Linked DNA regions of Callithrix jacchus. The protein of the gene in region 2 binds, or shares a complex with, the protein of the main gene of each other region. Links are inferred from orthologs where the notes say so. Each region holds a gene or a part of one and is shown on either strand. Other genes may lie near its edges.

Region 1 (3,743 bases), on a different chromosome or scaffold from region 2:
TGCTGTACGCAAGCACATGTTAGATGTGATTGAACCATGTTGTTGGTGTGTCACCGGTAGAGGGTCGTGACAGCAAGTTGACCAGGTTTTGACATTTTGAATAAATAATTTGAAGAAACGCCCCACAAGGCAAAGAAAGAACGAGGCAACGAAAGAACAAAAGCAGAGATTTACTGAAAATGAAATTACACTCCACAGTGTGGGAGCAGACCGAGCAGCAGCTCAAGGGACCGGATACAGCATCTTCTCGGGTCCAAATACCCACTAGAAGTTTCCCATCATATAAATGAAGTGGTAGTCCACAATCAGTCTGATTGGTTGTAGAAAGCAGCCAACCAGAGGCTGAAGTGAGGTACAAAGGTCACACTCCTGTGCAAACAGCAAAAAGCAACCAATCGGAGGTGAAGTTACAAAGTTATCCTTTTTTTTTTGAGACGGAGTTTCCCTCTTGTTACACAGGCTGGAGTGCAATGGCGCAATTTCGGCTCACCGCAACCTCCGCCTCCCGGGTTCAGGCAATTCTCCTGCCTCAGCCTCCTGAGTAGCTGGGATTACAGGCGCGCGCCACCATGCCCGGCTAATTTTTTGTAATTTTAGTAGAGACGGGGTTTCACCATGTTGACCAGGATGGTCTTTGATCTCTTGACCTCGTGATCCACCCACCTCGGCCTCCCAAAGTGCTGGGATTACAGGCGTGAGCCACCGCGCCCGGCCAACAAAGTTATACTTCTATGCAAAGGAAGACTGGGCCCCCAATCAGTCTGACTGGTTATGGACAGCAACCATTCAGAGGCTGGAGTTAAGTTACAAAGTTGCAAAGGAAGACTCTGTCAGTCTGATCTGTTGCAGACAGCCAGTTTCCTATCTGCCAGGCGGAAAAGTTGGGGGGTTTGCAAAGGGAGTAGCCTCTCATCCTTTTGTTACTTGGGCATGGAAAGTTAGGGTTTTCCTTTCAGTTTAGCTCTATGAAGTCAGTGTGAGACAGCTTTAGTTTCCCTGCCTCCAGACCCTTATTCTGCTGCCTCAGATACAGTCACCATCGTGATATTATCTATCGCTGTATCAACACACCAACCCAAGGCCAACCACAGCTCTTTCAGCACTGCGCCGTTTCGGGGCACCCAGTTGGTCACGTGAGGGTTGTTCCGCCGGGAGCCCAGCTCTCCTGCGCTCCAGACCGGACGGGATCTCGTGGGGCTGAGCTTCTGTTCCTTATTGGTTGGCTCAGGGGGCGTGGCGCGACCTGACCAATCGCGGGCGGGGCGCTTAGGCACGTGCGGGGGCAGGCCCGCCTGAGAATCCGAGAGGCCTTCGCTAGGGCTGCAAGGACCCGAACCTAGCCCCAGCGAGGGAAGCGGCGGGGGAAAGCACCGGCTCCAGGCCAGCGCGGGCCGCTTTCTCGCTCTCCTAGCTCACTCGGTCTGTGCCCGCCGCCATGTGGGCCGCCCGGAGGTTAGCCCTGTGGCCTTGTGCCCGCGCCGCTACCGCCGGGCTGCGCGCCTATCACGGGGACTCGGTGGCCTCGTTGGGCACCCAGACGGACGCGGGCTCTGCCGTCTACCAGGTAGGCTGAGCGCCCCGGGGGCCTGGCCGCAAGTGGAGGAAGCAAGTGGGTAGGGGCAGGCTTCAACAGCTGCTGCTCTCTTCTCAGGAGCCCCAGTCTCCCAGATTCTGGGATCCATAGAAGTTTGAAGAAGGAAAGCCTAACAGATAAAAGAAATTTTAGTTCACTTTTAGAGCTGGCACTGTACTTTGTGTCTTTGAAATCAGTGGTTCTTAAAGCCTGGTTTAGAATTCTCACCTGGAGAGCTCTTTAAATAGCGGCCTGAGCCCCACTCTGGACCTTCTGGATCTCAGATAAAGTCGTGGTGTTTTCATTGTAGTGAAGTCCTTAGGGTACTTTTGGCAGCCAGCTTTGGGAACCACTGGCCTAGAACACCCCAACCAGGGGCGCTGTGCTTACGAAGTTTTAGTTTAAAAGTTGGTTATGATGGCAGGGCGCGGTGGCTCACACCTGTAATCCCAGCACTTTGGGAGGCTCTGGCGAGTGGATTACCTGAGGTCAGGAGTTTGAGACCCCCCCCTGGCCAACGGGGTGAAACCCCGTCTCTACTAAAAATACAAAAATTAGCCGGGCGTGGTGGTACGTGCCTGTAATCCCAGCTACTCAGGAGGCTGAGGCAGGAGAAAAGCTTCAATTCGGGAGGCAGAGGTTGCAGTGAGCTGAGACTGTGCCACTGCTCTCCAGCTTGGGTAACGAGGGAAACTCTGTCTCAAAAACAAACAAAAAAAAAAGTTGGTTATGTTAATAGAAAACATCCCACAGTGTCTTTGAGTGGCTTTTCCTGGAATTAGGAGGCATCATAAGGCCAGAACACTTAAAGCTTGTGAAATATCAGAGCTGGAAAATTTCATTCTGTTCCCATAATTTCTAAGCCTATACAGATAACATCTAAATAGTGCAAACAACACAGGACAGAATGTCTAGTTCAGAATTATTAAGTGGTTACTGTGGTCTAGGCACTTAATTTAGATATTTGGTATAGATGTGCAGGAATGGAACTTATAATTTTGTAGGGGAGATGGACAAGAAAGCAGGTAACTGGTACAGTGTAAGAAGGGGTGTTTAAAGCTTGAGACAGTGGTTACGAAAGCTACAGATAGGAAGTAATAGGTGAGATGAATCTTGGGTAAGAGCTGGCCAGGTTCAGGGTTCAGGATGGAAAGTAGGACTATACAAACCAGGAGAGTTACAAGAACATAGGTACGGAGTTATGAAAGTGAATATCTGGCCAGGTGCAATGGCTCACGCCTGTAAACACAGCTCCGGAGGCCGAGTTACGTGGATCACCTGAGGTTGGGAGTTCAAGACCAGCCTGACCAATATGGATAAACCCGTCTCTATTAAAAGTACAAAATTAGCCAGGCATGGTCGTGCATGCCTGTAATCCCAGCTACTCAGGAGGCTGAGGCAAAAGAATCGTTTGAACCTGGGAGGCAGATGTTGTGGTGAGCCAAGATTGCGCCATTGCACTCCAGCCTGGGCAACAAGAGGGCTTGGAATTCATGGAATAGTTTGGTGATGGGATTGATTGATTATGGGACCAGATAGAGGAGGATCTTGCATGCAAAAGCCACATTTAGATTCCATTTTGCAGGCTGCCCATTAGAAAATTTAAGTAGATAAGTGGCATGATCCTATAGATATGGTAGAATCATCAGTGTGGTGGCAGTGTGAAGGATGGATTGATGTAGGGAAAAGACTAGACCTAGGTGACAGTGGAGAGTTGAGTCTTGAGATGAAGGAGTCAAATTAGACTTGTATGTGGTAGGGGCGTTAGAGATGCCCGAGGAACGACAATTACAGAGTTAATAACTGAGTGGAAGGGAAAGATGGATGACTTTGGAGTTTCCAGCTGGGCAGAATATTTAGGTTGGTGGAAATGTCATTAATACAAACAAGTCTTTAGGACCAGGAGTGAGGTTTGGCAGATGAGAGAGAGGATATTTGGTGATGGGTTTTGTATGAATCACCTTTTGCTAGGTTGTGCTTTGTAACAGACAATTAAAAAATCTCAGTAGCTTACAACAACAAATATTTGTTTCTTAATCTCTCACTCATTTGTGCTGGTGGCTTGTGGTTGGCTGCTGTGACTGTTCCACTGCAGGGTGGATTCGGGTCTGCTGTTTGTGTCTTCCCATTCCTGGACTGAGGCTGAAGGAGCAGCCCTGATTTAATCATG
Region 2 (3,743 bases):
TGCCATCCATGAGGGGCTGCTGGGAAGACCCACAGGTTTGGCAGGAGAGTTCCATGAGCTGCTTCCTCAGGAGGCTGCCGCTCTCCCGTTCCTTTCCAATTCAGTCGACCTTGCCTTCTTGATCTTGAAGGAGGGGGATCACTGTCCTTGATCTTTATGAGGTATTTTCTGTCACTGTCTTCCCTTCACATTCTTTAGATAGGTTTCTGATAAGTTTCAAGGCCTATTCTGAGCAGATGTATCTATTAAATGGTTGCTTCTTGGTAAAGCTAGCTTAAGAGTCTGATAAGTTTCAAGGCTACTGTTGACGTAAAGCTTTCTTTTGCTATCTTCTAGTGAAGACAGAAGGGAAAGAGAAGGAAAGAGGGAGAATGAGAGACAGAGAGAGAGAGAGATTACACTTAACTATAATCTACCCCAACAATGTTATGATTGATCATTCCATTTTTCACAATTATCTGAGCTGAAACTTAAAAACAATGGCTTAAACAAGATTAAGAAGCTGCTTCCCAGATTCAAGGTAGCTCCATACCAGCTTATTGTCATATCTATAATTCTGCCACTAGAAATTATTTTCTCTGGGCTACTAGAGATTCACAACATAAAAATAATGTAAACTATCTGTACTGATTTTTTTTTTGATTCGGGATGTCACCCAGGATGGAGTACAGTGGTGTGTGTGGCCTGGAACCCCTGGGCTCAAGCCATCCTCACCCACCTCATCCTCCCAAGTAGCTGTAACTACAAGTGTGTGCCACTACGCCTGGCTAATTTTTTAATGTTTTGTAAAGATGAGGTCTTACTATGTTGCCCAGGCTGGTCCTGAACTCACACAATCCGCCCACCTTGGATCCCAAGTGCTGGGAAAGTGCTGAGAATACAGGCATGAATGAACTCTCCTGGCCCAGAGGTTTACTTCTATAAGCCATCAACAACTCTAACGCTCTCCAGGGTGACACATACTTGAGAATAGTTCTATAAACAATAGGTAAGCTTTGAAAGGGAAGAGAGAGAGAAAATGGGTCTACCGTACTATCCTGAAGAGCCCTGCACACCTAAGAAAAGAAAAACCAGGGGAACAAAGGAACATTAACATTACTTTCACCAACTTTCTCATGTTTCTCTGGGCAGTCCTACAATTAAGTCACTAAAAAGGCCATCTACAATAATTTCTGGAAAATAAAAACAAGCAAATGTTCATGTAAATGGTTGGTTTTGCATTTATATATTGATTTTATGTACCAGATTCTGCTTAAACCTCTTTCCATGCGTTAATTTTCACAACCCAAGGTACGAGCATCATCTCCTCCAAGGTGAGGAAATTAAAGAAGAAATATTAAGTAACTTACCCAAAGTCACACACCTAGTGAGTAGCTAAGACCTCAGCCTTGACTGCAGAATCTGTGCCCTTGAACACTAAACTGTCTTTCCAGAATGATGGAGGATGATGATAACCATTAAGCCAAAGAAGACAAAGAAGCAAGCTATCTACAAGCCTGAGGGTGTTTTCGCTGCCAGAGTTACTGCCACCAAAGGTTAGAGCTCAAAATTTGAAACAAGAGGTAGAGTCAGGTGAGCTAAACTGAGTCATCCGACAGCGCTGTTCGAACCTGGGTGCGAGAGTTTCTGACAAAACAGTTCCCCAGCTCTGTGGAAGGCACACGTTCTCCTCTCGACAACTTCATTCCTCTAACAACGAGCGGGAACTCCAGGCGTCCTTCTGAGAACAGGACACCTGATGGGGCGCAGCCGAACTGGAAATGACTCGCGGGCATCCTGGTCCAGTCCTTACTAGTCGTGTTCCGCTGAGCAAGTCGCTGATCCGCGGGGGCTTCCTTGGAACGGGATGGTAACAACGTTCCCACCTAAGGGGTGCTGCGAACGCCGAGGAAAACGGCTCCGAGCTGCCGCGGCGGCGAGGGACGACTGGAGGACGGCGGGCCCCTCCTCGGAGCGGAAAACCGGAACGGCGCGCTGAGGCGTGGATGCGGGGAGGCCGGGAGAGCGCGAAGGCCGCTGCGGGGGGTCCTCCTCCTGACGCCGTGACTGCCAGCAGGACCCCGCACGAGCGGCGGGATTTTTCTTCCGTCCTCCCCACCGCGACACCCCGTCCCGCCGCACCTCCCACCGCCCACCCAGGTGCAAGCGCCCCTCGCCTCCGCCCCCGGCATGGCGCCATGGCCCCTCTACCCACCTCGGCGGCAGGAGCAGGCTCGGGAGACGCTGCCACCGGTTCCTCTCCGCCGCCGCCGCCAGCAGTGCCGACACCGCGGAGACCGCCGCCATGTCCCTGGGGCCCAGCCGCTCCGCTACTCCCCGGCACTGCGGCTGCCGCGTCCCACGCTGCAAACCCGACCCTCCGCTCCGAAGCCTCGAGAGCCCCGCCGGCCACCGTCGGAGTCTCAGCCTCGCTTTGGGCCTATCCGAGCATGTGAGGGCGTCTCCACAAACACCAATCAAAGACCAGAGTTCGGCTTCCGCAGCGACGATTGGTCAGTCTGGCCGCGTGCCCGCGGGGGTGTGGCCTTAGTTTCTGCGCCACACGGGCCTGCGCCGACTCCGGGAAGGTGTTTCCCCTTCCTCCGCCTCCTGGTTCCCTGTCACTGTTTTTTCTTGCCTCCTGCGCGGTTCCTTCACTCTTGTCAGCTTCTGGGAGACGAGCCCTGGGGGAAAAAGCCAAATGCGGATGGAGAGCAGGATACACAATTCTCTAGTGCTCTCAGGGCAGAATAAATAAATAAGCGAAATTGAAAATCTTTAAACCACCTGAGCTTAAAGCAGGTGTTCCTACTGAGTCTTGGGAAAAAGAGGAAGTCAAAGAGCAACAGGAATATCTAGAGGATAAAGATACTGCAAACACTGCAGGTGGATGCTTCGTGAGGAAAGCTGGAGGAAGAAATTAGTGAAGATGAAGGAAGAAATAAATGAATTCCGAAAGCCAGTATCAAAGGACTAATATACCCACAGGGTCACAAAAATTCATAAAATAGTTATCAAATCAGAAATAAAGAGAGAAAAACGCACGTTTGACATGATTTAAAAAACATAAGCGGGGGAAAATCACAGACGGGAAACAAATTGTAGATTTGTAAGATGCTAATTTTGCTTAATTTCAAGTAAACTTAGAACTCTGGATGGAATGAATGATGTTTCAAGAAAATACAATTTGTCAAAATCGATCCTGGAAGAGACAAAATATAAGCAAACCATTACCATAGAAAAACCAGAGAAGTTGAACAAGAGCTGCCCTTGCTACCGCCCCCCACTTCCATCTTCACCTTCACCCCCAAAAGTTACGAAAGCCCACCTTGTCCTGCAAGAAAATTCCACACAAATGAGGAGTTGACTCAAACGCTATTAATTCTCTCCCAGGGCATAAAAAAGATGGACGTGTTCCAAATTCTTTTTAAAAAGTAAACATAATTTTGATACCAAAATCAACAAAGATATCATGCACACACACACACACGACAGACCAATTTCACTTATAAATATCAATGGAAAAATTCTAAATAAAATATTAATTGCACTGGGTGCTGTGGCTCATGTCTTGTGACCCCATCACTTTGCGAGGCTGAGGTGGGAGGACTGCTTAAGCCTAGGAGTTTGATACCAGCTTAGACAACATAATGAGACCCCCATCTGTACAAAACTTTTTTAAAAAATTGGGCATGATGATGCATGCCTGTAGTCCCAGCTACTTGGGAGACTCAGGCAGGAGGATCACTTGAATCCAGGAGTTT

The links. The genes of interacting proteins can lie anywhere in the genome.
Region 1: the proteins of MCCC1 (region 2) and MCCC2 are in contact, whole or in part, in a cryo-EM structure (PDB 8JXM), measured with the Homo sapiens proteins. The link is inferred for Callithrix jacchus from reciprocal best matches to the Homo sapiens genes MCCC1 and MCCC2. Residues at the interface, in NP_064551.3 of Homo sapiens: Glu519, Phe526, His531, Asp532, Phe534, Ser535, Pro536, Phe537, Ser538, Ser539, Ser540, Ser541, Gly542, Arg543, Arg544, Leu545, Asn546, Ile547, Tyr549, Thr550, Arg551, Tyr568, Tyr636, Leu637, Ser641, Glu644; in NP_071415.1 of Homo sapiens: Leu56, His57, Val60, Glu61, Lys64, Asp88, Ile91, Pro93, Gly94, Ser95, Pro96, Phe97, Leu98, Glu99, Gln102, Ile123, Gly124, Arg125, Gly128, Glu130, Arg234, Trp276, Leu278, His281, His282, His285, Lys298, Lys299, Leu300, Ile304.

Annotation. Positions count from the first base shown.
Region 1 is NC_133503.1:139,599,358-139,603,100, reverse strand, and holds the start of MCCC2 (methylcrotonoyl-CoA carboxylase beta chain, mitochondrial), read left to right. Parts: upstream 1-1,294; 5' UTR 1,295-1,435; coding exon 1,436-1,564; intron 1,565-3,743. UniProt on the Homo sapiens protein: Carboxyltransferase subunit of the 3-methylcrotonyl-CoA carboxylase, an enzyme that catalyzes the conversion of 3-methylcrotonyl-CoA to 3-methylglutaconyl-CoA, a critical step for leucine and isovaleric acid catabolism.
Region 2 is NC_133516.1:11,354,916-11,358,658, forward strand, and holds the start of MCCC1 (methylcrotonoyl-CoA carboxylase subunit alpha, mitochondrial), read right to left. Parts: upstream 2,391-3,743; 5' UTR 2,287-2,390; coding exon 2,195-2,286; exon of another isoform or gene 1,350-2,194; intron 1-1,349.